Linked DNA regions of Coturnix japonica. Each later gene encodes a partner of the first gene's protein in a complex. Links are inferred from orthologs where the notes say so. Each region holds a gene or a part of one and is shown in the gene's direction. Other genes may lie near its edges.

What was found.
Region 2: NUP160 (region 1) and NUP93 share a complex: the UniProt entries of both Homo sapiens proteins name them as parts of the nuclear pore complex. The link is inferred for Coturnix japonica from reciprocal best matches to the Homo sapiens genes NUP160 and NUP93.
Region 3: NUP160 (region 1) and NUP107 share a complex: the UniProt entries of both Homo sapiens proteins name them as parts of the nuclear pore complex. The link is inferred for Coturnix japonica from reciprocal best matches to the Homo sapiens genes NUP160 and NUP107.
Region 4: NUP160 (region 1) and CETN3 share a complex: the UniProt entries of both Homo sapiens proteins name them as parts of the nuclear pore complex. The link is inferred for Coturnix japonica from reciprocal best matches to the Homo sapiens genes NUP160 and CETN3.
Region 5: NUP160 (region 1) and NUP85 share a complex: the UniProt entries of both Homo sapiens proteins name them as parts of the nuclear pore complex. The link is inferred for Coturnix japonica from reciprocal best matches to the Homo sapiens genes NUP160 and NUP85.
Region 6: NUP160 (region 1) and NUP188 share a complex: the UniProt entries of both Homo sapiens proteins name them as parts of the nuclear pore complex. The link is inferred for Coturnix japonica from reciprocal best matches to the Homo sapiens genes NUP160 and NUP188.
Region 7: NUP160 (region 1) and NUP214 share a complex: the UniProt entries of both Homo sapiens proteins name them as parts of the nuclear pore complex. The link is inferred for Coturnix japonica from reciprocal best matches to the Homo sapiens genes NUP160 and NUP214.

What each region holds. Positions count from the first base shown.
Region 1 is NC_029520.1:524,166-528,129, forward strand, and holds the start of NUP160 (nuclear pore complex protein Nup160), read left to right. Parts: upstream 1-1,164; 5' UTR 1,165-1,209; coding exon 1,210-1,412; intron 1,413-1,912; coding exon 1,913-2,123; intron 2,124-2,384; coding exon 2,385-2,607; intron 2,608-2,815; coding exon 2,816-2,894; intron 2,895-3,517; coding exon 3,518-3,632; intron 3,633-3,964. UniProt on the Homo sapiens protein: Functions as a component of the nuclear pore complex (NPC). Involved in poly(A)+ RNA transport.
Region 2 is NC_029526.1:558,931-563,039, forward strand, and holds the start of NUP93 (nuclear pore complex protein Nup93), read left to right. Parts: upstream 1-1,309; 5' UTR 1,310-1,420; intron 1,421-1,700; exon of another isoform or gene 1,701-2,610; intron 2,611-2,621; exon of another isoform or gene 2,622-2,706; intron 2,707-3,235; exon of another isoform or gene 3,236-3,502; intron 3,503-4,109. UniProt on the Homo sapiens protein: Plays a role in the nuclear pore complex (NPC) assembly and/or maintenance. May anchor nucleoporins, but not NUP153 and TPR, to the NPC. During renal development, regulates podocyte migration and proliferation through SMAD4 signaling.
Region 3 is NC_029516.1:31,992,256-31,995,755, forward strand, and holds part of NUP107 (nuclear pore complex protein Nup107), read left to right. Parts: intron 1-2,129; coding exon 2,130-2,256; intron 2,257-2,728; coding exon 2,729-2,832; intron 2,833-3,347; coding exon 3,348-3,475; intron 3,476-3,500. UniProt on the Homo sapiens protein: Plays a role in the nuclear pore complex (NPC) assembly and/or maintenance. Required for the assembly of peripheral proteins into the NPC. May anchor NUP62 to the NPC. Involved in nephrogenesis.
Region 4 is NC_029547.1:53,325,919-53,329,418, forward strand, and holds part of CETN3 (centrin-3), read left to right. Parts: intron 1-417; coding exon 418-609; intron 610-3,500. UniProt on the Homo sapiens protein: Plays a fundamental role in microtubule-organizing center structure and function. As a component of the TREX-2 complex, involved in the export of mRNAs to the cytoplasm through the nuclear pores.
Region 5 is NC_029533.1:9,354,767-9,358,953, forward strand, and holds the start of NUP85 (nuclear pore complex protein Nup85), read left to right. Parts: upstream 1-1,387; 5' UTR 1,388-1,486; coding exon 1,487-1,519; intron 1,520-1,605; coding exon 1,606-1,901; intron 1,902-2,076; coding exon 2,077-2,147; intron 2,148-2,624; coding exon 2,625-2,668; intron 2,669-3,095; coding exon 3,096-3,165; intron 3,166-3,359; exon of another isoform or gene 3,360-3,519; coding exon 3,520-3,641; exon of another isoform or gene 3,642-4,109; coding exon 4,110-4,187. UniProt on the Homo sapiens protein: Essential component of the nuclear pore complex (NPC) that seems to be required for NPC assembly and maintenance. As part of the NPC Nup107-160 subcomplex plays a role in RNA export and in tethering NUP96/Nup98 and NUP153 to the nucleus.
Region 6 is NC_029532.1:4,043,956-4,047,455, forward strand, and holds part of NUP188 (nucleoporin NUP188 homolog), read left to right. Parts: intron 1-1; coding exon 2-89; intron 90-175; coding exon 176-258; intron 259-419; coding exon 420-534; intron 535-832; coding exon 833-953; intron 954-1,184; coding exon 1,185-1,251; intron 1,252-1,687; coding exon 1,688-1,816; intron 1,817-2,576; coding exon 2,577-2,710; intron 2,711-3,043; coding exon 3,044-3,150; intron 3,151-3,363; coding exon 3,364-3,500. UniProt on the Homo sapiens protein: Component of the nuclear pore complex (NPC), a complex required for the trafficking across the nuclear envelope. Required for proper protein transport into the nucleus.
Region 7 is NC_029532.1:4,684,161-4,687,660, forward strand, and holds part of NUP214 (nuclear pore complex protein Nup214), read left to right. Parts: intron 1-554; coding exon 555-716; intron 717-1,652; coding exon 1,653-2,100; intron 2,101-3,484; coding exon 3,485-3,500. UniProt on the Homo sapiens protein: Part of the nuclear pore complex. Has a critical role in nucleocytoplasmic transport.

The sequences.
Region 1 (3,964 bases):
CCCGTGCCGCATGGCCGCGTTCCACCGCCGCCCTCGGATCGGTGCCCCCCGGGAGGGCACGGCCTTGGGGCGTCCGTCGAGCCGCAGCTCCGCTCGCCCCACGGCCACCATAATCCGCTCAGCTCCGGGATTACGGCGCGGGGCCGACGGTGCCCCCCCCCCCCCTCCCCTTCCCGGTGCTGCCAAAGCCTCCGTCGAGGGATTTAACCCCGACCTCAGCCCCCAGACCGGCCCGATGCCCCCCACCCCCACCACGCCCGGCCCCTCCAGCGACCAGCGGATGGGGAAACTGAGGCAGCGGGGAATTCCCGCGTGGGAAACGAATAGCCAAGGCCGTCGGAGGGCGGCCGGAGCCATATAAGGGCAGGAGTTTCACCATTTCCCTGCTTTTTTTTCCCAAGATTCCGGCGGCCCCGCGGCCGAGGAGCAGCGCTGGGGTGACGCCATGGGCTTGGGGTCCCGAACGCTCGCTCTCCCCTCCTGGATCCTACAACCCGCTCCCGCCATGGGCACACACAGCTTCCTGCCCCATCGTGACCCCCAGGGTCCATGGCCTGCTGTCCCGCTCGGACACGCAGTCCCCAGCCCCACGGGGACCCACGGCACTGGGAACCCGCAGACCTAAGCCCCATTGGGACCCACAGACCCCATGCCCCATAGGGATCCCTGGCTCCCACCCCACGGAACCGTAGCCCCATTGTAGCCCTCGGTCCCCAGATCCACAGGCACCCACAGTGCTGGGAACCCCAGGACCCACAGACCCCAGCGACCCCCAGCCCCACAGGGACCCACAGCACAGGGAACCCCACGCCCCACAGGCCCCATAGCAAACCCCGGCTCCCCCCCCCCGCCCCCACGGAGACCCTCAGCTGTGGGTCCGCTGTGGGACCCCAGCGGTCACACGGCCCCGTGAGCCCCATATCCAACCCCCCACAGCTCTACACACCCCAGCCCCACATCCAGCCCCATAGATCCCTCCCCCCCCGCTCTCACTCACTCTCAGCACTCCGCCGCCGCCCCGTCCCGGCCGTGCCCGCAGGAAGCAGCGGGCGAGCCCGGAGGGGGCGTGGCCTGGGCGCAAGTGGGCGTGGCCTCGCCCATAGCCCCGCCCACCCCGCCCTTAGCCCCGCCCACCCGGCAGGTGGCCCCGCCTCCTCCCCGCCCGCCATTTCCCGTGCTGCCCCGCGCGGGCGGGAAGGCGCTGACAAGATGGCGGCGGGGCTGGCGGAGCGCAGCTACATGGAGCTGGGCCCGGCTCCTCGTGCCCCGCCCCGACGGATCCGGGAGGTGTCCTTCAGCCCGCCGGGTACCGCCCCCGTCCCCACCGGGCGTTACGGGGACAGCGCTGGGGGGTTCTGTTACCGAGAGTGCGCTCAGTTGGGGGCGGCCACGCGGAACCGCTGCGTGAGGTGGTGAGTAAGGGCGGGCGGGGCTGTGAGGGGACGGGGCGGGATGAAGGCCTGGGGGGGGGGTTGAGTCATGGAGGGGCTCTTTGGGGCATAGAGATAGAGAGGCTGTGATAGAGAGGCTGCTTGGGGCATGGAGGGGCTGTCTGGAGTGGGAGGGTGTTGGGTTTTGGGGTGGGAATGGAGTGATGGAGGGAATGAGGGGGGATGGGTTTGGGGCTGGGGGTGGATCAAGGGTCTGTGGGGTGGTGGGGGTGGGTTTGGAGGCAGGTAGGGATGGAAGGTGGGGGTTGTGGGGGTTGAGGATGGGTTTGGGGGATGATAGGGATGTGAGTTGGAGAAGGCAGGGACAGAAGGAAGGGGTTTTGCTATAGAAGGAATGAATTTGGGGCAGGAAGGGATAGAGAAGGCTATGGGGGTGGGGGTGGGGCAGGCAGGGATGGTTTTACCTGCTCCCAGCCCCTCCTTGTGTCCCCTGTTGTCCCACACTTCCTTGTTTCTCTCAGGACAACATCTGGGGACATCCTTGAGCTGGTGGAGGAATCTCTGGACACGGAGCTGCTGAACAATGCTGTGCGGTTACGCATCCAGGGCTGCCCGCTGCTGCCGGGCGGTGTACACCTGTGTGAGGTGCAGAACCACCTGGTGCTGCTGCTGGTCACTGTGCAGAGCGTGCACCGCATCCTGCTGCCTCATCCAGCCCGTGCCTATCGCGGGGTGAGTGGCATAGAGGAGTTTATGAGGGATTTAAAGCCTGGCCCTGTGGTCAGTGGCTCCTGTGGAGGCATTACTGAGTGTGAGAAGGGAGAAAATGCTGCTGGAAAATGAGATTTTAAAGCCTGTATGTTTTGGGAAGCAGCAATCGTGGGTTGAAAAAGTGACTGTCACTTAGCAGTGTTGCTCTGTAGGTGGTGAGTTATTTCCTCCATGGCTTGTGTATGTGCTTGAGACTTGTTCTCCTCCCTTTACCTCCTCCAGGATCTGATAGCAGAGAGTCAAGTGCAGTCCGTCTTTACAGACATTGGCAAAATCAACTTCAGAGATCCATCCAGCTACTACCTGATTCCCAGTGTGCCAGGCTTGGCAGCCAACTCACTGGCCTCAGCAGCCTGGCTGAGCAGTGATGGGGAGGCCCTTTTTGCTCTACCCTCTGCAGCAGGAGGCATCTTTGTTATTAAGCTGCCTCCTCATGACATACCTGGTAAGGCTGCATCCTCACACCTGCTTCTGTGGAGCACTGTATCCCCTCTTCCAGCTTTGGACCTCGATGGGTTTTGCTTTTGTCACTTGTGTCTTACGGCCTTGCTGCACACACAGCATCTCTTTTGCATCAGCCTCCTTTCTGGCAACATGTGTTTTGTTAACTAAGTCCTCACTGTGTTTTCCCTGTGTTGCTTTTATTTTGCAAGGAGTTGTTTCGGTTGTGGAGTTGAAGCAGAGCTCGGTGGTGCAGCGCTTTCTCACCGGTTGGATGCCAACAGCAATCAGGTTGGTGTTTGGGGACAAACACAGGGAGCTCGCTTTGCTTTATGATTCCCTCGCATAGGAGGAGGTGGTGTTTCTAGTTGAAGTCCAGCGTGGGCAAATCAGCACCTGCAGATGTGTTCTGCAATGTTAACTGGGTCACAGGCCCCGTCACAGTGAGACTTGAGGGCTGGATTAGTTCATCTTAGTGGGGTCCTGCTGATTCTGTGCGTTGGTGTCTGTGAGTGTGTTACATCCAGTAATTGGCCTCTGAGGATTTACCCAGGATGTGGCTCGCAGCCAGGGTAGATTAAGGATTACAACAGTTGTATGTTCTTGTCCTTGTTCCAAAATGTCAGGCTTCTTTCTGACCAGCAGAGGTTACGTGTAGATAACAGCTCGTTTGGGGACTGTAGTCTTATGGCAGCTTAAGCACATGATCAAACCCTGTTAAAGCCTTCCTGGGAAATGTGAGTGAGCCTGCGGCACCCTGAGTTGGATCACAAGGGGTGCGTTGCTTGGGGCCAGGTGCCTTTCTTTTCCCACCTCAGTCCTTCATCTTAATGGGTAAAACATCACGATAGAAATCTACTGCCTTGGACCTGTGTGCCAACCTTGGCTTCCTTTTAACACACCTGTGCTTTCAGAGGTGACGGTGGCCCATCAGACGTGCCCATCAGCCTTGCAGTTCACTGCCTGGACCACGATGCCTTTCTCTTTGCTCTCTGCCAGGACCACAAGCTTCGGATGTGGTCCTACAAGGTGAGGCTTGCGTTCGGGGCAGGTGTAGTTTAACAGGTGACATTGGGTGCTTTCCAAACTAACTCTGGCAGGCAAGTGGGAGTACCCCAAGGGATGAGGCAGCACCCAAAACGGGTGTTCTGCTGCTTGAGTGGTAATGTAATGTGACTCTTTGTCAACAAGAAACTGCTAAAAGCCTCTGCTTGCTGCATTGTACTTGCTCCAGAGCTAATCAGCCAGCACAGGCACTTTCACGGCTGGGCTGTGCTGGAATGTGTGTCTGCTACTGGAGGGAGGGGAAGCTTTATGTGCTGGCTGGGAGAGCACAGATGAGCTGGGGGAGCTAAACTGCA
Region 2 (4,109 bases), on another chromosome or scaffold:
TCTCCTTTCTCCCCCTCAGGCTGCTGCTCCTGCTGCCCCGCTGGCTGCAACAACTGTGCCAAGGGCTGTGTCTGCAAGGAACCAGCCAGCAGCAAGTGCAGCTGCTGCCACTGAGCAGCCCGCCTCGCCTGTAAATAGCTGCCATGCTTTGGGGACAGGGTGGGGGGTGATGGGGGCCACAAACACAAAACAAAGCTTATTTTTACATGTTTTGTACCTTCTGTGCTGATGGAGGAAATAAATGAGTTTGGCTGAGCCCTGATGCTGCTTGTGACACGTGTGTGGGAGCACTGGTGCTGGGGGCTGCGCCAACCCCCTGTGGGCTGTGGTTTGAGGGGACAGAGTGGTGTCGTGCAGTTGGGGTGCTCTGTTTCACAGCCCCTGGTGAGTGGGGGGCTCAGGGTGCCACATGGGGCAGGTGTGAGCACAGCCCGGCCGGCTCCTGCCCTGGGGGGGCAGACAAGGAGGGGGGTGGGGGCGTGGGAAGGCGCCTGGCTGCTCTTTTCCTTCCGAATACACCTGCCAAGCGAAAGTTGGCCCTACCTGTGCTGCAGGGCACAGCCTGCCCACACATGTCTGTGTGCTGTGTGCTCTGCTCCTGGCCATGCTGCCTCGTCCCATGCTCTGCGGGTGGGGACAGCTCGTGCCCTCCAATGGGGCTGGGAGCCGTGTGGGGTGGGTGGCCCTGAGTCCCCGGGCCCCTCGCTGGGGTGGTGCTGGAGATGGGAAAGGGGCTGCCCCGCTCAGTGTGTATTTGCCTTGTAAATCAGGGCCTGGGCTCCTTCCCAGCCGTGCCCCGGGTTGGAGCAGCCCCCAGGACGAGCTCTGGGGGCCGTGCCTTCAAACATGAGCGCTGTGGGAAGGTGTGAGGGCAATGTCTGCTGAGGGGAGCTGGGCTGAGGGGGGTGTGCGGCCCGGGGTCCCTGCAGGGTGGGTTTTTTAATTGAAATCAAGTTTTTCTTTATGTGAGTGAGTGAGCCTCACATCCTACATGGCACAATGGACACAAGTGGGGAATGGGGAACAGATGGCTGTGGGGGTTCAGGGCAGCGAACAGCCGTACTGATGGCAGTCTGCAGGCGTTCCGCTTTTCGTTTATAGTGTTTTCATCTCTGACCCCCGGCCCCGCGCGGCCGTCGGGCCGTTCCTCATTGGAAGAGGCGGCGGGCAGCCTCGAACCCGCGTCTCCCGGCTCACCGCCCCCATAACCACGCACAGCCCGCGCCGCCTCCCAGCGCCTCAATCACTTCTTGTCGCGAGACGAGCTGGAGGGGCGGGACTCAGCTCGACAACCAATGGAAATGCGTAGCGTCAGGAAGCGCGCCGGCTCGACCAATGGGCTGGCGGGGAAGGGGGAGAGCGTGGCCAATGGTGGCGCGCGGCGCGGGCGTGCAGGCGCGGCGGCCGGAGCGGCGGGCAGGTGAGTGAGGGGCGGTGGGCGCGGCGGGGATCGCGGTGCGGGCGGCCTCCGTCCTCCGTCCTCACATCGTTCTGCTCCCCGGCTCCTGAGCTCGGCGCTCCCTGCCCTGGGCGGGCGCTGAGGCGCGGGGCCTCCTGTGAGCGGGTGCCCTCGGGCCGAGGCAATGTCTGCCAGCTGTGCGGGCCGCTGCCGGGGGTCCGGGCCGGGCTGTGTGAGGGCTGGAGGCGGGGGGAGATGCACGGGGTGATGGCGGGTGGGGCCGACATGAGGGGACCGAAAGGATGGACTGACTGGGAATGGCTACATCAGCTCGTGTGGTTCCTGCTTGTTCCTGCGGTGCTGATAGCAAAGGAAAGATTGTGGGGAGAGGATCCGAGCTACAACATAAGGAGCGTGAGGGGAGTGAGCAGGGCAGGCGGCACGGCAGTGCAGTAAGACCTCAGAAACAGCTGGTTTTATTCAGTTTGTGCTGTAAAAGCTCTATGAGACCAGAGCTTGGGAGCCGCGATCAAAGGGTTGGTAACTTACACACCTGCCTGCAGCTGAAGAACAAAGCATACAGGACTGGGAAATATAGGGATGGCAGCTGATTTAATTTGTGGGTGGTGGAATGAACACTGAGTTGAGGAGTTCGTTGCTGTGTGCTCTGTTCAGGACTTTCCTACATCCAGGGCACTGTACCAGCTGGAGCACCACATGCAGCTTGGAGCCCTTACGTGTTTGGTTTTAGTGTGGCTTGTGCTTTTAGCTTAAACCAGGAGGTGGTGTGGCTCCCTTTGCTAGGTTTGATTAAAAGTCGTGTAGCAGAGGGCAATTTGTGGACAACATGTAATAGATGTGTGGTTTGCAATCGGTCCTTTTCCCTTATAGAAGTTGAAAATGAGTCAGGGACAGACCTTGGGAGCGGGAGCAGGTGACCTGTGTGTGCTGCTGGTGGGGCTCAGTTGTCTGTACCATTCCTGCCCTACGTGTGCTCTGTTTAACAAGCTCATTGACAGTTCCTGCATTCTTAGAAAGGAGCTTAATATCAGTGTCTAATATCACGGAAGTGGCATTTTTCATTCATTCAAGATATACATGTATGTATTTTGCCGCCTGCTCTTTGCTTTCATACTCAGTCACTTACTCTCTTCCTTCCAAAGGGAGCGGATGCTGACTTGTCACATGGGTCTCTGGAGCACTCTGAGAGGGTAACGCTGGATTTCTTCCTCTTTGTTTTGTCTTGGGAAGAATCTTTTTGCCCCTGGTTGGATTGTACTCTTTATCAGCTCTTCTGATTGCAGTGGGTGAGGCTTCCCTCTGAATTTTTAGTCAGTCTCTTTAAATAAATTAATTATAATTAGGTGGCACAAAGACTGTCAGTGTATGAAGTACAGCAGACACTTGCTTACACATGGGAGCTCTTCAGCTTGAAGTCTTTATGAAGCTCATATGGTGAAATGTTCAGCATGGCCGTATTTGGAGTAGGACAGCACTCTTCATCTGCTAGCACTGCAGGGCCTGGCTTTCCACGACCAGCCGGCATTTATGGTCAGTCTGAACAGAATTAGAAACCTGTCATCATTTCTGATTTCATTTTGGCTGAAATCCAGCCAGCTTGTAGAGTTTGTAACATCTACATGCGGTTTTAAATGTTGGGAAAACATTAAATGGGGCTTTTATTGGACAAGCAATAGCAGACTAATGCAGCAGCTTCTATTGATAAGTCATCAAAGTCGTTTTACAGAAGGGCTTTTTCAGCCCTGGCTTCTAGCCCTGGGTCGATCCAGTTTCACCGAAGTTAGTTTAATTTCTGGTGTATTTTCTCTCCCTTAGGTGTAAGTTGTTGCACATTCTGCAGCCAGACACAACAGTCTGCTGTCATTTGCTCGTCCCTGTGGCAGCAGTTTTCCATCTTGCACAGCGGCATTTGGAGTCAGACTGCAGCCTCCTGAATGCAGTAAATTCTGACAGCATGGAGACTAAGTAGTTCATGCTGTTACCCGGTCTGGATGTTTGAAGTCTGTCCCTTGGAACACGCTGCTGTTTGAGCTCTAGAGAAAGGTTTGAGCTCTCATTCCCAGTGTTTGGTTATAATCAAAGGTAGTTGGAGTTGCTTCAAATTAACAAGTTTATTCTATATTTGCTGAATTCAGTCTCTGTTTTCCAGAGTCATTACGGTTGTCCTACCTTGGCAGATTTGTGGGACAGCCTGTATATGGAATTGACTTGGGATCCGTGCTTGACAATTGCAGTCTGTGGAGCTATTTGTAGTCCCCTGACTCTCTGTGCTTTTGGTTTTAGAGCTCTGAGAAGTCAGTGCCTTCTCACACTCTTGGCTTTTCATCTTGTTCTTAATGAGAAGAGGAAGCAGACTGATTTGAATCAAATCAAGCTGAAGTCTGTGCTGCTCCTGCACTCACTGCTTCCTGCTTTCTAACGGTACAGGAGCGTGGCTGTTGTGGTCAGCCTCTGCCAGTGCAGGCAGCTTCTGCTGGGGCACACTGAGGTATCACAAGTAAACACTGGAAAGATGCTCTGTACTGCATTGCAGAGCATGGAACTGCTGCTTTCCACCACGCCCCTCTCTCCTCCCAGCCATCTCAGTGGCATGCTAGTCTGTTCAAACAAATCCAGACCCTGCTGTCTCTCCTGAACAATAGGTCAGTGCACATGGGGTTGCTACGTCCCCTAGCAGCTCCTGGTTTTC
Region 3 (3,500 bases), on another chromosome or scaffold:
GTGAAACTTCAAGGTAGCTACAAGTTTATTGTGTCTCTGTGGAGTTTACACCAGGGACAAACTGCTTGTGGAACAAGCTTACTCTTATTACTGCTTCTATTGAATCTTAATGCTAGTTTTATTTATTACTGTGATGTTCTTTGAGATGATGTAGTGACGAATGAAGAGTTTTTAGGCCTTCTTAAATGCCCCATATGTGTTAAGTCTTTAAATCATCAATTTTTGACTGCAGAAATCTTGACTTCACTTGCTTATGGATTCCTCAAAGATGATTGTTCTGTCAGCAAATCGAACCTGGAGATTTTTTCTTATTTTAGCACTCTAGATTTAGTTTCATTCGCATGTTAATGTTTGAGCTTCAAAGAGCAAGCTCTTCTGATTACTTTTCAGATGACGTTAGTTGTCTTCTGTGGTAACATGTTTGGTAAAACAGTGATTAAAGAAGTCATCAGTAGGTACATCTGAACTATTTTATCTGTTTACCTTTAAATTGAATCAAGACAATATGTTTTTCTGTATGTGAATTTTAATTCGTTTTACCTTTTGGTTGGTTTATAGTTTGTGGCAGCCCATTTGTTTCATTAAGACATGTGGCTCTGGAGCCTATTGACTGTTGATCAGCACTGATAAAGTGCTTCATAGTAGCACTCTTCCTGTGATTCAGAGCCTCTTGACATTCTGTAAATAGCATTTTGAGAGTATTTAGTGCTCTGACCTGAGTCCAGTATAGTTCAGCAGGAGGAAGCTTGGGGCTAGACAGTGGCTTTCATAGGAGGTTGATGGAAAAAGGACTTAGAATTATGTCTTGTCTCAGTGCACTTGCTGGTAGATTACAGCACTCGTCAGACTCTTTTCTATTTCCCACAGGGAGCTGAAATATTTTTTTCTGGAGCTGATTTATATTTGCTCAGTGGTCTGAACGTTTAGGAGTGCTGTAGCATTATGTTCTGGCTGGATAGAGGGCAAAAATGGCAGAGAGAAATCAGGCAGGTGAAACACTATAGGTAGGAACTGGGGCATAAAGAGAAGAACAACACATCTATGTCTGCAGTTTTTGGATGTGCAGAAGAAACTTGCAGCAGTGTTGTCTGATTATCTGTTCTTTCTGGTTTGGACTGAGGATATTTTAACAGCCACGAAAAATAATCAGCTGTTGTCATATCCCTGGGTCTCGGTCTGGCGTTAATTGCTGCTGAGAAAGCCATTGCTGTCATGAAAAAAGATGTAGGAAACTATCCTGTTTGTATAGTGTACGCATAGTCTCTTTTCTCTTTTGGCCATTTTGCTCCCTTCTGTTAGATAGGCTTCCCCTAAAATACACCCAAGAAAGTCTGGTTTTGCCTTGTTCTCTGCTTGAATATTCTTGCATTTTCTCTTTAAAGATGTTTAAAGATGTCAGTGGTTCTAAGCTGCACCAGGGGAGATTCAGGCTGGGCATTAGGAAATATTACTTCTCATGGGTGGTCAGGCATTGGAATGGACTGCCCAGGGAAGTGGTGGAGTCACTGACCCTGGGGGTGTTCAAGAAACATTTGGATGTTGTGTTGAGAGATATGATTTAGCTGGGAAGTGTTGGTGATGGTTGGACTAGATGATCTTCTAGGTCTTTTCCAGCCTTGATAATTCTGTGTGATTCTGTATTGCTTCATTCAATCAGTATTTTGATCAGTTCACTAGGAAGATAGAAAGACTGAAATAAACGGTTCTGGTTCAAACTTTATCTATTTAGTTTAATTCTTCACAGCTGCTTCACAACTTAGTCAACAAAATACTAAGTTAATAAAATGTTTAACATAACAGACTATATCCTTTGATGGAGTTATGTATGCTTTAAGGTGAAAAAATGGTACAGAGGAATGTAAAATGCAGGGTCTGATTACATTGGCGTATACACTTGTTATTTCGTGGGGAAAAAAAAGGAGAATGTTCTTTTTCCAGATTAAAATTTTAATCTTTTGAGAACAGTTCATTAAAATCATAGTTGTGTCTTAATTAAATACAGTTATTTCATTATTCACTCTTTTGAGTTGCTCTGTTTGTACCATTCATATTGAATGACAGTACCTTGGAGCTAGCCTTGTAGTAATCTGAGTTTGCTGTTTGTTTTCTTTATATTGTTTTGCTTTTAGTTGGATGACAGTAACTGGACGGCAATGCTCTCACCTCAGCAGACAGGAATGTTTGCAAATCTAGACATGACGGAAGATGTCACCACAAGTGCTGTACTGTTACGTGAGGATGATCCTGGGGAAGCTGGTGAGATGCTCTGAGGCTTTCATCACAATTGAACACATACGTGTTTTTGTTTTCCTGTATCTTCTCACTTAGATATTCCTATGCCAGAAGCAGAATAGTTTAAAGAGTTCAGAAAGTTAGCTTTTCTAGTTATTGAACTTGCTGACACAAATGGGATGCTGTGGTGAAGTAATACACAAATTGAATTCTCTGTGGAGACATAGAAGCAGGTTTGTCTTTAAAACTTGGATGACAGATTTACAGCAGATGTTTAATAATTATTTTATTTATCTCAAAGCTTCTATATATCTTTTTATATTAGCTGATGAATTCTTCTGACTTTATGAGGTATAAACAGTTCATATCATCACTGTCCTTGCTAACATTTATTAGTGATGAGATACCTTGGCATCAGAAGGATTCTTCTTTTAGTGTTGGTATTTTTAACCACAACATGTCTTAAATGGCTTTCTTCTTCTTCTGTTTATTCTAGCTACTATGAGCATGTACTCAGATTTTCTGCATTCCTTCCTGAAACATACATCAACGACCATTTTCGATCTCGTGGATGAGTATGAAAATATATGTAATAATCAGGTAAATAGTTTGCTTTGATGGGTCTTTTATTATTTGTTTTAATTTACCATCAACATACACACAGACACAGAATTGTCGGGGTTGGAAGGGACCTCTAGAGATCATTGAGTCCAACCCCCCTGCCAAAGCAGGTTCCCTACACCACGTCACACAGGTAGGCGTCCAGTCGGGTCTTGAATATCTCCAGAGAAGGAGACTCCACCACAACCCTGGGCAGCCTGTTCCAGTGCTCCGTCACCCTCACTGTAAAGAAGTACTTCCACACATCCGTGCGGAACTTCCCATGCTGTACTTTCATCCCATTACCCCTAGTCCTGTCCCCACGCATGTTACTGTGGTGGTCTAGGAGCTTTCTACTGCATTCCTAGCAAACTGGCAGTAGAGTTCTCAACGTCAGCTTTAAGAAGTCTGTTTATTTAAATAACAGACTATTGACTGATGGTCCGTTATCAGCAGGGATTATAAAAATAAAAATGATGAGCACTATTGACTGTGTATGTGCTTCCTTACCTCAGGTGAACATACTGGGGAAGATAGTTTACAGAGCAACTCCTGGACAGCAGAAGTTTTCAAAGACCGCCAGTGTCTTGTGGCTTCTCAAGCAGGAGATGGTAACGTGGAGACTGTTGTCCTCACTTTATAGGTAATTTCTTTGAAAAGCCCATTGC
Region 4 (3,500 bases), on another chromosome or scaffold:
ATTCTATCCAGATCATAATATTTAAAATCAACAAATTCAAGTGCCTGGTTCTGTGAGAGCTGATGGTTTTTTTTATTTTATTTTTTTTCTGAAATGCATTTTTCAAATAGAAAAGGCATGTTTATACTTTCAGTTTGTATAGAAAAGCCTATTGAAAGCATGATATAGTCTAAATTGCCATGTAACTTTTCAACTGTGCCTGATATATGCTGAAGAATAACTCAGCTTTGAAAAGAGAGTAGAGAAAGAAAGGCCAGATAGCTGCCAAACAAGTACGCATGCATACTGTGAACTGAAATAGTTTAAAAATGAAAGAACAGATGAAATCTGGAATATATATTCTTTCTGTTACCTCAGTCAGCCTGTCATTCTGTTTACCCTTCAGAATTTTTTAGTCTAACTTCAGAATCTTTACAGTGACAGACTGGATATTGGACAGAGATCCACAAGAAGAAATACTCAAGGCATTCAAATTGTTTGATGATGACGACTCTGGTAAAATAAGCCTGAGAAACCTGCGTCGTGTTGCTAGAGAGCTGGGTGAAAATATGTCTGAGGAAGAACTGCGGGCTATGATTGAAGAATTTGATAAGGACGGAGATGGCGAAAGTAAGTCTTAAGCATAGACGATGTGGGATTCTTATCTCTTAATTTTCTCCCTATTTTAACATAGCTTTATCTTGAAAATGCCTGAAATTGACAATTTTCTCTTTGTTTTCTTTCTAAATATCTCTCAGCTCAAACTTAGCTTATGTAAAATGAAAATAGTTTTTGATAGTTACTAGTCCTGAAGAAGCATGGTGGAGTCTAAAAGTCAAATAGATTTCTCACCTTCACTGAGGCTTAATCAACCAGCCCATACCTATTCAAAGTTTGGTTAAAGTTCCTCTGGTTAAATAATTAAGTGGTTCATGGAAGTGTCTGTGTACTACAATAAAATTTGGTATCTGTATGAATTAAAATGGCAATGAGTAAAAGGATTAAAAGGCCAGAAGAAACTCTTTTGATCACCTGGTCCAATATTTCTTAAGCAGTAGCGTGTCACTATTGTGATTTCAGCTTGTTGGTCAGATACAAAGAACTATGCTACTAAGTTGTGATGAACTTAACCCTGCGTCCAAGCAGGATCACCTAGAATAAGACTCTAACATGTCTCTGTACTTAGGAGAGCTGAGGAGTGTGATGTGGAAAATTCCTCTGAGGAAACAATGTCCATACAGTGTGAGCTACAGAAGAGCTTTATTAGCTAGATAAAGAATTAAGTAACAGGCACTGTTTAGGGTTGTTGTTTGTTGTTCAGCTCCCTTCTTTATTTCCTCCATGAACTTAAATCTTTGTATTTAAACTAGAAGCATTAATACCTGGATTTCAGGAGCCACTCACTTAAGACAATCTGCATATACTCTGCATTTCTGAGTCATAGAAACCATTGTGAGTTTTTCTTTCAGGATGATGACTCTCATCTGAGATCTCAGAAGTAGTTCAACTTTTTTAGTTGCAAAACATTTCTATTTGTCAGCAACATCTACTGGAGTCTAAACTCTGATAGAGAAAAAAACAAAATTCACAGCACCTGCCTTTTTGTCTGTCTTGTGACAGATACTTCAGTCTGTGCTGCTTGTGGTAGGTGTTATTTCACACTTGATCATACAATTGCAAGCTTGTTAATTGTTGGCCTGTACTGTTTTTGCATCTACTCAAATATTGAAAAAAAAAATACAAACCTTTCTCCTCCCTCCCCTGTCCCACCTCCAAGAAATGGGGGGAAATGAATGAAGAACAGGACTTCTAAGCTTAGTCAGCACAGTTTAAATGCCAATGTTGTTTAATTTTAGTGATGCAAATAGGGAGCATAAAGGCAAAAATACTAAAAGCTCTGTGCTTTTGTTGATACTAGACTGTTAATCTTGACACTGTTTTTACAAAAGTCTGTATAATGTTAAGAAGACTCTTACTTTTGTTTAGAAGATGCCACCTCCTGATCTCACTTCATTTCCGGAGGCTATGTTACCTTAGTAGAACCTGCATAATTCTGATGTTCTTTTATGTGCCAGATGTGTCCTTCCACACATTTATTGCATTGGTATCCACCTCAGTAGCTATACAACAGAGTATAACAAATATTCTAAGTGGACAGCTTTATTTTAAGTTTATTTTGCTTTTAAAAGTAGTGGTGGCACTGCCAATGTTACCTTTTACTTATTTCTATTAAAGACTCATTTTATTTGAAAGTGGGGCTGCAGAGGGGATAGCAAGTAGAATAGATCAACCACAAGCATGTTTTGTTCTCTGTTACCCTTCTAGAGCTGCCAACTCAACTGTCAGAATGATAATCAGGGATGATTTTGGTCATATCACTGTTTGGTCAGTAGAAATCAATGTAAACTTTTAGCTCCTTCTAGGAAGATTTTAGTTTTTGGGGGGATCAGTACTAAGTTTCTGAGATTGTTCAGTTCATTTTCCTTATTCATCCATTAATTTTCTTTTTTAGAGAAGTCTGGAATAAGATTGAATGTGGAAGATTGGTAGCATGATGTATTTGCATAGTTCTGTTCCTTATGGTTCTGTTTTCTGTTCTCTAAAGAAAACTAGTACTGTTTCTAGCTTTTAAGATTCAGTCTCGGAAAGTAAATAATCTTCTGAGTCAGTGTTCCATGTAGTTTCAAACATCTGGGTCATGTAACAAAGTCTTGCTCTCATTTATTTCTCCTTTGTTTCCTGCCAAGGGGGAAAAAATCTCTAAGTATCACTTGGTAGCGTTCTATATTTTTCAGTAGTTCGTCTGTAACTGGGCAGCACATTAAGGACTCCAACTTACTCATCTAACATTCTGTGAATGGAGTAGAGAAAAAAAAAAACACCAGTACCCTCAGTACATTGTGGAAATGTTTCCTATTTCTATTTTAATTGTTTATCCTGTTTTTTTTCATGAGTCAAACCACATGGAACCTCAAGCCTGGTTTTAATTTTAGTCATGTGTCATAAAATGAATAAGAAGTATTACTATTTAAGGGAAGTGATGCTTTTGTTTGTAAAATATTAGTACCTTCAGCAGACACTTGAATCATACCTTAATCGTGATGTTTTAGGACAAAGCTCAATTTCTGTGGTTACTTACTTGTCTTGCCAGATATGTTTGTGGATCCATTTTTTTTTTTCTTAGAACAACACTGATTAAATTTCATCTCTGAATTTATGTTTAATGTGGCTTGCAGAAAAGCTGCTTTGGACTCCAAATATATCCTGCAGATAACTGCTGTTGGAAATGTTCATATACACAGAGTCTACTGCTCTTTTCTTCAAGTAAACAGTGAAAAAAGTAATTGTTGTAAGGTAATCTGTATCTGTTGTCAGTTTATGGGCTGGTTCAGCCTGGTTCCATGAGTGATGGGGTGGAGGGATCTGCAGATCCACATCTCTGGATAAGTGAAACAGGGGACACCAAAATAATTTAAAACAGTGGCAACAATCTGAGGAGAAACAAACTAATTTACTAAATA
Region 5 (4,187 bases), on another chromosome or scaffold:
GTTAGGCCAGAACGAGCAACTTCCAAAACAGTTCTGTGACAATTTGAGGCACACGTCCTTGCCCCGGTGAAACGCAAAGACAAGGAGTCTGTTATTCCTGTGAAGCACAATTAAGAGAAAACGAGGCTGTTCACTCACCAAGCAAACTGAAAGTTTTAGAACTAGCACTCAATGATTCCTTTGGCTAAACTTGTACACTGGCCCTTAAACTAATATATGGGATTCCTATTGCTAAGGCAGTCAGCCTACAGCACCTTCTCAGCCTGAACCCTGAAGGGGCGAGTGGCTTATTCGGATTTTGCTCTTCATTAATACTAGTGTAGCACCAGGAGCAGAAAAGCATTGCCGAGGTGATTGCCTGTCTCATGCTTCCCCTTTCACGATGCTTATCCTCCTTGCCTTCTCCCAAGCTATGAAATTACTTTCCAACCTTCTATTTTGTAACCCTTTATTCCCTTCCTCATTAGACCTCAAAGTTTTGCTGCTTTCTCCCATCCCCAGAAAACAGTCGTGTTCTTTTGGCTGAACCCAGAGCTGTAGCTCTCAAGTCTTTTTGAACACTGTGTACTTCCACGCTGCCATTCTGGTTGTAATTCGATTCAGTTACAGACTGGTCAGGCACAAGAGCCTTTCTGAGCCAGAGTGCAGGCTCATCTCTCTCCTAGATACACGCAGACCTCCAGCCAACCTTCCAAGAAGGACTAAGACACTGCAAACTAAACTTCACCTCTGCCAAGGTCATTTCCCTCGGCAAAAGTCACTTTCTCAAGGGCAGCAGGAGCTGCAGCCATGAAAAGCTACTGGCGTTTTTAGTCAGTGAGCAGAGGGGCTGTGTCCGTCAGCACAAAGCAGGAAAGGAGCTGCAGCTTTACATCAGCTTGTAGTTTTTCAGTCTTTGCACTGGATGGGATCCTGAGGCAGGAGGACACTGTCCCATTCCTACACCCTCACCTCAGACATCAAAACATCCTTCAACACAACGACGAAAAGGAAAATAAGAGCAGTGAGACCAACAGACACTGCCCAGGGCTCGGGCCTCTCAGCAGCGCTGGTTCAGGCTGAGCAGCACCTGCCTTTTTACTGCCCGTTACAGAGCGACCGCGGCGGGACAGCGGGACACGGCGGGACAGCGGGACACGGCGGGACAGACAGGTGGACACGACACAGCTCCGCTCCGCTCCTGCCGCGTCCCCCCCGCCCCGCTCTGCCATTACAGCGGCCCGTCCTCTCCTCCCCTCCCCTCCTCGCGTCCTCCCCCGTCCCGCCCCGCCGGGGCCTTCAATGCCGGCGCTGTTTCCGGGGCGACCGGCCGCGCCTGCCCCGAAGTGTCGGAGCCCCGTCGGTCCCGAGGGCCCGAAGCGGAGCAGCCCGCAGGGAGCCTCGCTGGCTGCCGGCTGCGGGTAACGCTGCGGAGCTCCGCGGGGCGTTGGGCAGCGGGGCGGGCAGCCGCCAGGGGCCTCAGCGCGGGCGGGAGCGCGGCGTGGCCATGGAGGAGCCCGAGACGGAGCCGCCGCTGACGGTCAGGGCCGGACCGCCCGTCCCCGTCCCTTCCTTTCCCTTCCCTTTCCTTACCTTCGCCCCCCGCTCTCCTCTCCCTTCCCGCAGGTGGTGCCGGGCGCCGACCCGGCCCGAGCTCAGCTGTGCTTCGAGTGGGGCCCCGCCGAGATGCTGCTGTGCGAGACGCTGTTCGGCCGGGGCGGCAGCGCGGGGCCGGGGCCGGCGGGATGCGGCGCTGCGGGCGGCGGGGACGGAGCGGCGGGTCCGTCGCGCGTGTTCGTGGTGCGCAGGGATCAGGACATCTACATGGAGACGCTGCGGAAGCTTTTCAACGAGTCCCACGGCATCTTCGTGGGGCTGCAGCGCTGCGAGGAGGAGCGGGCTGCCAGGGCGAGGAACGCGCAGTGAGTGGGGCCGGAACAGCCTCCTTTTGGGTGCTGAACAGTGCGTGGGACCCTGCACAGCACGGGCAGCACCCACCAGGCTGACCCTGGTTCTGGAAGCATCCACGGATGCACAGAAAAGGGACCGTAACCGAAGCAGTATCTCTCTGTAAACGATCCTTTTTGTGTTTGGCAGATTAGTCCAAGTGAGTAAAAACTACCGCTCGGTCATAAGAGCCTGCATGGAGGACATGCACCAGGCTGCCAGTAAGTCTGTTGCACTGCAGTAAAAAGATGCTACTTGTGATGATAAAAATAAGATTTCTCTTGGAAGTTGCTATAGCTACTGAAAAACAGCCCATATAAACTTCAGTAATTAACAGGATTCCATCTTCCATCATTGAGATTTCCATGTTGGTTCATCATCTCGTAACTGATTTTGGGAAGACTTGCAGTATTTTCATGTCATGACTTGTGGTTTTGTGGAAAAATGAGTCAAATTCACCAGCTTGCTCCTCTGAAACAGTGAGAGGACTCACTGTGTCTTAACATCCTTGTCCTGTAAATATACCAGATTTATAAAGAGTTCTGCAGGGTGAGCTGAGCTGTATCAGCTGTGCACACATCTGGGGCTGTACCCAGCGAGCGATCAAGGACTGTATGAATGAGCTCAGAAAGTTTTGTTGTACCTGTAAATATGCTGCTTTTTATGCTGCTTTTTGACTTGGTGTATTTTTCGCTCAGTTTCAGCCCGGGACTCTGCCCTGCACAACCAGTACAGCATTCAGGTAACGTACAGTCACATCCACGTAGTTGCATGAATATTGGTTAGTAAAGCCACAAAGACCAACACCGTGGCTGTAGTTTGTTGTTTGAACAGCACTGATGTTGCTTAGTTTGCCTTTAGTTCCTTCTGTGCTCTCTAACTCTCAGGAGATTAAAAAGGCTTCAATTAACACTTTCTGCACTGTTCTGCATTTCCCTGAGGAGCGATTACTGTTGCATTTCAATACACAAACCACCGATATTTTCTAAAATGGATGTGTATAGAGAAGTTATGGCCTGTTTCTGTCTTTTGATTATCTCTGGAATATCAATGTGACATTTCTCTTGTCTACAAAAACCCATCTCTGTGGGCAGCACATTCAGCTGTGCACTTAAAATTAAATAACAGGAACAATTATGACCCTGAAACGCAGCTCTGCTTTTTGTCAGGTTTCTATTCTCTCTGCCATGGAGCTGATCTGGAATCTGTGTGAGATTCTGTTTGTTGAAGCAGCGCCAGGTGAGCAGTGAACAGTTCTGATGTTAAGCCTGAAAGTGGTCTTGTTTGCGTAATAATCGTTTAAAATGTAGACAGCGTGCGTGGTGCTACATCTTAATGCTTACTGTGGAGTGTATGACAAGCAGCACCGAATTCTGATACCTTTTCTGCCTCAGTAAATTGCATTTTTTTGTATTAAATTATATCAGGATGCATTCTACTTTACACTGGCTTATTTATTTATTTCTCACAGAAGCATAATAAACAAAAACTTGTTCCCAGTTTATTTGACCTTAAAGCATAAGAACCTTCTTAAATTAACTGCCTGGGGACAAACAGTTTGGGAACTAACAGTGATACCTTCTCTGTGTAAAGCTGGTCCTCTCCTGCTTCGTCTCCTTGACTGGGTTCAGCTTCACATCTGTGATGTAGACAACATGGTCCGTGAAGTTCTGAGCAGCGAAAATCCATCAAAACACAAACTCTTCTGGAACGTGGTGAGTACAGCCCCCTGTCAGACGTTTAGATGAAGTCGTGCCTGTGTGTCTCGCATTCCTCTTCTCAGCACTGTAGCACATCTCAGAAACTGATACCTGAGATGCTGCTTCTGTCTTTGTAGTTTTAAGATAAAGCATTGTCAAGGTCATAGAATCACTCAGGTTGGAAAAGACCCGAAGGGTCATCAAGTCCAACTACAGCCTAACCATGCTACCCTACCTACCCAACAGCCCTCCGCTAAATCATGTCCCCGAGCACCACATCCAAATGGCTTTTAAACACATCCAGGGACAGTGACTCAACCACCATCCAATTTCATGATTCACAGAGGTTGTATATTCAAATTAGCAGGGCCTAGAGTTGAAATCTTGTAACTCTACTTGGCTTTCTTGAAGATTCTCCTGATATTCCACCTGGGTGCGTGGTAGCCCTGCACAGCTTGGTACTCACAGACGTGCTTTCTGCAGGTGGATATCTTCGTACTGCAAGGCCGAATGGATGAAGCACGGCACTTGCTCTCCAAGGAAGCCACTGCAAATCCCGCA
Region 6 (3,500 bases), on another chromosome or scaffold:
GGCTGACAACTGTAATCTCTCCCCCTATGGATGTTATTGCTTCTTGTGTCAATTGTTTGACTGTACTGGCTGCACGGATGCCAGCCAAGGTGAGGACCTTCTTGGTTTTCTAAGTTTGAAAACTGGTACATAGGCATGTGAGTGCGAGATAATATCTCTTCTTATTCTCATGCAGGTTTGGACTGACCTTCACCATACGGGCTTCTTACCATTTGTTGCCAATCCAGTGTCCAGTATGAATCACATGGTTAGGTATTGGTGTGTTGTTGTTTTTTTCTGCCTGATTTGTTCATAATTTGCCATAAGACCTTTCTGCCTGTTTGAAATCTAAGATTTATGGAATCTGTGCATCTCTGGCATTTCTCACTCATGTCGAAGTTGTATTATTTGTACAATGAATCCCCTTGCTTGTTTCACAGTGCAGAGGGAATGAATGCTGGGGGCTATGGAAACCTGCTGATGAGCATAGAGCAGCCTCAAGGCGAGTACAGAGTTACCATCTCCTTCCTGAATCTCATCACGACTCTGGTCCGGGTGAGTGCTTCTGGAGTGGTCGTTATGTGAAGTCAGCTGAGAAAGAGAAATACAGCAGTGTGTCTCTGAGTAATCAGTCATTGGTCAGTGTTCCTTATGTGCTGCTGCTTTGTGCTTTCTCTGCTTCTTTCAAAGCTCTGCTCTGATCTGATCTACAAGACAATAGAAATTTTTTTTATATCTATGTCACCATCTTCAGTGGTTTTCTCACATTTAAAGACCCATAGCTGGTCTTCCTATGAAAGATTTGATGTCCATTAAACGTGAAAGGAAAAAATAACATTTCTGTTTCTTCCAGGGACAACTTGGTAGCACCCAGAGCCAAGGGCTTGTGCCCTGCATCGTGTTTGTCCTGAAGGAGATGTTACCGAATTACCACAAATGGCGTTACAACTCTCATGGAGTGAGAGAGAAAATTGGTAAGGAAATGGAGGGGGTTGGCAGGTGAGGTTGAAAAGGATCACCAGCCTTGGGGAGAATACGTAAATTTTTCCCATTTTTTAATCAGCTCTTTGTTCTGGCAGACATTTAGGATTTGCTTTGTACATCATCTGCTGGTATTGGTAGATGCTGAGATTTGGTTGAAAATATTAGGGACTAGGTAACAGGTTGTCTTGAAAACTGAGCGGTCCTTTTCATCTGTGTTTCAGGATGCCTCATTCTACAATTGATTCATGCAATACTGAATTTATGCCCTGAAATGGATCCTCGCAGTAGGTAAGGTGGATGATGGATGTCAGGTCTGGGGTTGCCTGGCTTATAGTGCAGCAGGACTCTGTTGCTGTCTTTTTGTTTCACTTTTTGAATGTAAGTTACCTGGAGTTAACTGGCCTGCTTGTGTAGTGCTGGTTTCAGTGGTTTTCTGCATTACTGAGAATAGGAAGGGTAGAAAAAGAGACAAAGAAAAGCATGGTGGTTTTTAGAATATCTGATACAGAAAGGGAAAAAAGCATATGTGTTCCATGGCGCAGACTGCCACCCACTTTCCTATTTGATATATCCACTCTGAAGGAAGTAGAAGGGAGAATGAAGTGGAAGTTAGTGGACATGTAGAAATGCTAACATTACTTTGTGGTTATTTAGTAAGTGCTGGGGGCGGAAAGTATAGTGAGTGATCTTAATGATGATGTTCTGTGGTGTGTGTGTCCCACAGCAATGCCCCCAGCCTTCAGTCCTTGTGCATCTTCAGCCTGGCCAACACTGAAGCAGGGCAAGCTGTCATTAACATCATGGGGATTGGTGTGCACACTATTGACATGGTAATGGCCTCCCAGTCTAGTAGGTGAGTTGTTCTTCATCTCTGTGTAAGAAGGAAAACAACAGGGCAGTATTTGAAATGTAGCTTTGACATGATTGCACTTACCTGGGGATCTGTGGCAGCCTGCCTTGTATATTCTAGAGGAGCAAGCCTTCTTTGTTACGGATCCATATTTAATTTTTGTTGTACTCTATGCTTCATGCTGTTCCTTTAGTTTTCTACTTTGCTTAGCCAAACTTGCCAGGAGGTTGTTTTTGAGAAAGCCTGCCTTTTGTTTCTTTTGGAACATCTGGAAGGGAATCCAAACTTATTAGAGAGAAAGCAAATAGCAATGTGAAAATGCTTTTTGGCTTTAATATCTCTCCAGAATATTTGTCTCGTAAGGAAAGCCTTAGAAAAATGCTGGATTTAGAGCCAGCTTAGTCTCATCCTCTATCGTGGATGTGTTATAGTTTCTTTAAGATTGGCTCATGCAAATGTTTCTCCCTCTGTCTTAATGCATTTAAAACCTTTCTCATAAAGAGGGGGAGAGAAGTGACAATAGGCTGTCAGACTATTTTCCTTTTTTGTTTGATGCTGAGAATTCAGGGCTGAGTAGACAATCCACATTGTGGCTGTGTGGGGGTTTGTATTTCAGCAGCTGTTAGGTGGTGATGTGACAGTCAGAGTGAAAATGTGTTATAACCTCTGACTGACAGAGTGCAGAATTTCATCTTTGAATGTTGTGCAGATAATAAACCTCAGTTGTCAACACAGTTACTTTGCTTTCTTTTTCAAAACACAGTGATGAGTCACAAGGCCAAGGCCAGCTGCTGATACAAACTGTGAAGCTGGCATTCTCAGTCACCAATAATGTCATACGATTGAAACCCCCCTCTAGTGTGGTATCTCCACTGGAACAGGCACTTACTCAGCATGGTATGTATTCCTCCATGGGGACAGCCTGGGAAGTTGTGGTTTTTTGTTACTTAGAAATAGTCAGTGTGTGTCTCATTACAGACAATATGTCAGTTATTGAAATGTCCAAAATGTGCTTTCTAGTGATAGGTGAAGGCTAATTCTCCCTCCTTTAAGGCATTCTAGTGGGTGGTAACCCTGTTTGTGGTGGAGGGGTTGGAACTGGGTGGTCTTTAAGATCCCATCATGCTTCATTTTTTTGGAAGACTCACCTAATTCTCACCTCCTGCTATGGAAGTCATTATTTGTGAAATAGCTGCTCTTAATCGTTGATTCTGATTGTGGTCCTTTCAGGTGCTCATGGAAACAATCTTATTGCTGTCTTGGCCAAATATATCTACCACAAGCATGATCCTGCGCTTCCACGCCTGGCCATCCAGCTGCTCAAGCGACTGGCTACGGTAGGATGAGGCTCCCACGAGAGCTTTGCTTCTTCCTTTCTGACTGATTCCACCACTGAATTCTTTCAAAACAGTTTCTTCAGGCTTGTTTGTATCAGGGAGGTTAATGCAAGTCGGCTGAAGGGAGTGTGGACTGAAAGCTATTTGTATTAGAGAAGAGGCGTTCTGTAGCATTTGGTTATCCTGGCTTCTGATGTTTCTTTCCTTTTACAGGTTGCTCCCATGTCTGTTTATGCCTGTCTTGGTAGTGATGCTGCTGCCATCCGCGACGCCTTCCTCACCCGCCTGCAGAGCAAGATCGAGGACATGCGCATTAAGGTCATGATACTGGAATTCCTCACAGTGGCAGT
Region 7 (3,500 bases), on another chromosome or scaffold:
TTCTCTGTTAACCTATACATTTATTGGCTTAAGGAATCTGTCCGAGCAGCCTCATTAAGCCCAGATTGTGCTGCCTTGGAGTTTTTAGAGAGGTTTTTGGTGAAGTTTTTTGATAACTCTGTGTTTTAACTGAGTGTAGTCAGTTCCTTTTTGACCACATGTTTTTTAACTTTACAGTTTGCAACAAGTTTGGACTGAAAAGAAACTATATTGGTGCTGGAGCACACTTCCATGTTGAGTTTTTCCTTCCCCAACAAGAGCCAGTATTAAAGAAATGTGGCCCTTCATTGCACCAACTAATGAAAGAAATGCTAATATTTAATATTATTATTTATAGCAGAATTTCTTTTCATTCTAGATTTGCTCTTTTTCATGTGTTAAATAGAGTTTAATCTTTATAGAAGATGCTTTAGGAATATCTGGAATAGTTTGGGGCCTTTAGCTGTGCTGAGAATACTTGAACTGAAGCAGATGTAGCTCAAGATGGTGCTGATGAGAGTAAGATCAGGACTGGTAAACTTGGTTACTGAGCTTATGTATATGGTTTCTGGCAGGTGATGAGAAGACCCTTCCTCCAGCACCAGTACTCATCTTGCTCTCTACGGATGGTGTGCTCTGCCCATTTTACATGATCAATCAAAATCCAGGGGTCAGATCGCTTCTTGTGACCCCAGAGCCATTGCCAGCAGCAGGGGAGAGAGCACCAAAATCACCAGGTGAGTGCTGCAGTGGGTTAAGGAAAGACTTGCATTTGTGGATCTTTGTCATCTTCATCTGTGAGCTTGTTATTCAGATAGACATGCAGTCACAGAAAAGGTTGGTTGTTTTTACTTGTAATAGTAATGGGAGCGGATCATGGGTATTTTGTGCTCACCAGTCAGTTCTCCATCTCTTGTACATCTAGATGAAATAATATAGTCCTGTTCATCCTAGGGGATCTCAGGCAGTTTTCAGACAGTGTGTTTAAACCCCTCTGTGTGATGGTTTCCCTCTCTGTTCTTATCGTGGCCTCCCGTGGCAAAACTAACATATTTGACTGCAGAAAGAGCTTATTTAAGTTATAGCTTTCTTCATCACTGTGAAAACAGTGTCAGGAGGTGAAAAGCAGTAGTTTTATCTGACTGTATGTTGGGTACCATATACAATGTAAAGTAGATACTTTCTTATTCTAGGTTAGACAGGTCAGTTGGTTGTTCTGCTTCTCTGCATGCATGCAGTAATAATTGCAAGCCCACCATTTTCTTCCCTGAGCTTGCATTTGCTTCTCCAAACAGAATGCATCTGTTTGGCAGCCTGCCTCTCTGCAGTGCTGGCTGACTTGTGTGCTGACAGCCTTTTTTTATGTGAGATGGCAGAAACCTCATCAAAAGCATTGGAGAAACGTGAAACCTTTTCACTGGGAATTCCAGGCAATGTTAATGTATTTGGATGTGAGTAAACTGCAGTATTGATCACATCTTGGACTTTGTGCACTCATTTGCCAGATGTGAGGACTGGAAGCCCTCTTCCCTCCTCACTTTCCTTCACTGTACAGTCTGCCTAGTGAATGAGGTTGTACTTAGCTGTCCCATCAAATGGTATTTGGCCTCGCAGTACCTTCTTCCATTAGTCAGTGCAACCAAATGAGTCTTTACCTATTTGTGTTTCTGCAGGAAGTACTGTCACAGCTCCGACCACTCCGCCAACCTCCTTAAAGCCTGATGCAGTACCAGCTGTTGCTTCTGCCCCAATTCAGCCTCCTGCAGGAGATGGAGCAGCTGCTTTTTCCTTTACACCTTCAACTGCAAAGGTGCCTGGCTCTACAGGCGGTGAACTTCCACCTTACCCCTTTGCCACTGATACCTCCAAGCAAATCCTGGCTCCAAGTCTTACAGGAGTGGCAACATTCTCTTTCTCCTCTGCTTCTCCTAAGGCATCCACAACACCTGCTATTTCTATGGGCACCACCGCAGCCACAGCCACCTCCTTCTCCTTTGGATCCATGAATTTGAAACCGTCTGCAGAAAGTTCTCCTGGACTGCCACAATCCACAGCTCCTGCTGCACAGAAGTCTTCTTTTTCCCCTTCGGCTTCTTCAGTTAAAGTGAATCTCAATGAGAAGTAAGTATAAAGATGCTATAGTGCAGTGGCTGGATAGCTGTTAAATCAGTCCAGGTGTGGACAATGTGTGGTAGTTCTGAACATCACACAGTGTTCTTTGGCCTCTTGCCCTGACAACTGTTCTCCATACTCCCAAAAAAGCTCTGAGGAAGCTCCTCCTTATCTAAAACTCATTTGTCTTGGCTGTGAAAACCCTCAGCGTTTCTCATGCTAGAAATGGTGTTTGTGGGCAGATTATTAGTTGGGGGAGATGCTGGAGTCCTACTTTTCTCATGTCTTTACTACATAGGCTTGATATGAAATAATTCCTTGTTTTGGTTTGAGATAAGTCATAATTAAAGACTCTTGGGAAACCGTGGGACTTGAAAACTCTTGTAGCTGTTTTAGTGTAGTGGTGCTGGCACTAATTTATTTTGCTGTGAAGGTTCCTTATCTCCAACCTTGAGAGTAATTTGCAATGCTGGAGGAAGCTGTATCCGTAGGTGATAGACTTCTTTTCCACTATGTTGGATGGAGGGGATGCCATCTAACATGGTTCTTAACTGGATGCTTGCTCAGTGGATGTAGGGCCTGAAATCTTCAAAGCTTGTTCATGCTGAACCATTTATGGAAGCTGAAGGAGAGCTGATACTGCGTATAAAATTGGCAAAATAGATTTGAGTGATGCATATTCTCAGATTTCATGTACTTGTTCTGCCCTCCAACTCCTGAGACTTGCTCCCATTTTCAGAAAGAGTGGTTTGGAACAGATCTATGTTAATTGGAGTTGCTTTCCACAGAGAGCAATTTTTGTGTCAATGTTTTTTAAGAGATTTCTGATCATTCAAATGATTATTTTTTAATTAGAATAATCTTTGCTACACCAAGATCTGATGGTAGCTCTTAAGGCTTTTTAAATTTCATATTTTGTGTATAAAGCAAATGATACGCTTGTGAATTGGCTGAATATTCAACTTTGCTGCCCTGAGGGCCCAAGTTTGAAGATGAATGGAAGTTCATATTTTCTTGCAGAGTTTCTCTTTGAGCTTTGTTTTAAGGCTGGTACTGAAGGGTGGCTCAGATTTGCTACAGTTGGTGCTTTTGTGCAAAATGAAGAGGTATGTTTTGAAACAGGGAAGGACTTCTTGCTGGCATTTGGTTTTTCATCATAGACCAGCTCTGATGAACTATGGTAGCAGAATTTATCATTCCAGATAGTCCAGAATATCCCTGATGGTTCCTCTCCACCATTTCCAAAGACTACACTTGAAATGTTGGGTCTGGAGCTTAAGTCATTGCTGATACCAGAGTCTGCTAATTTGTTAGAGCTTAATGGTTTCTTTTAGATGGAGTGAAGCAGCTTGGGCCACTTCAGAGCTGAAAATTGTTTTGCTTTCGTCTGCAGGTTCACCGCTGTAGAC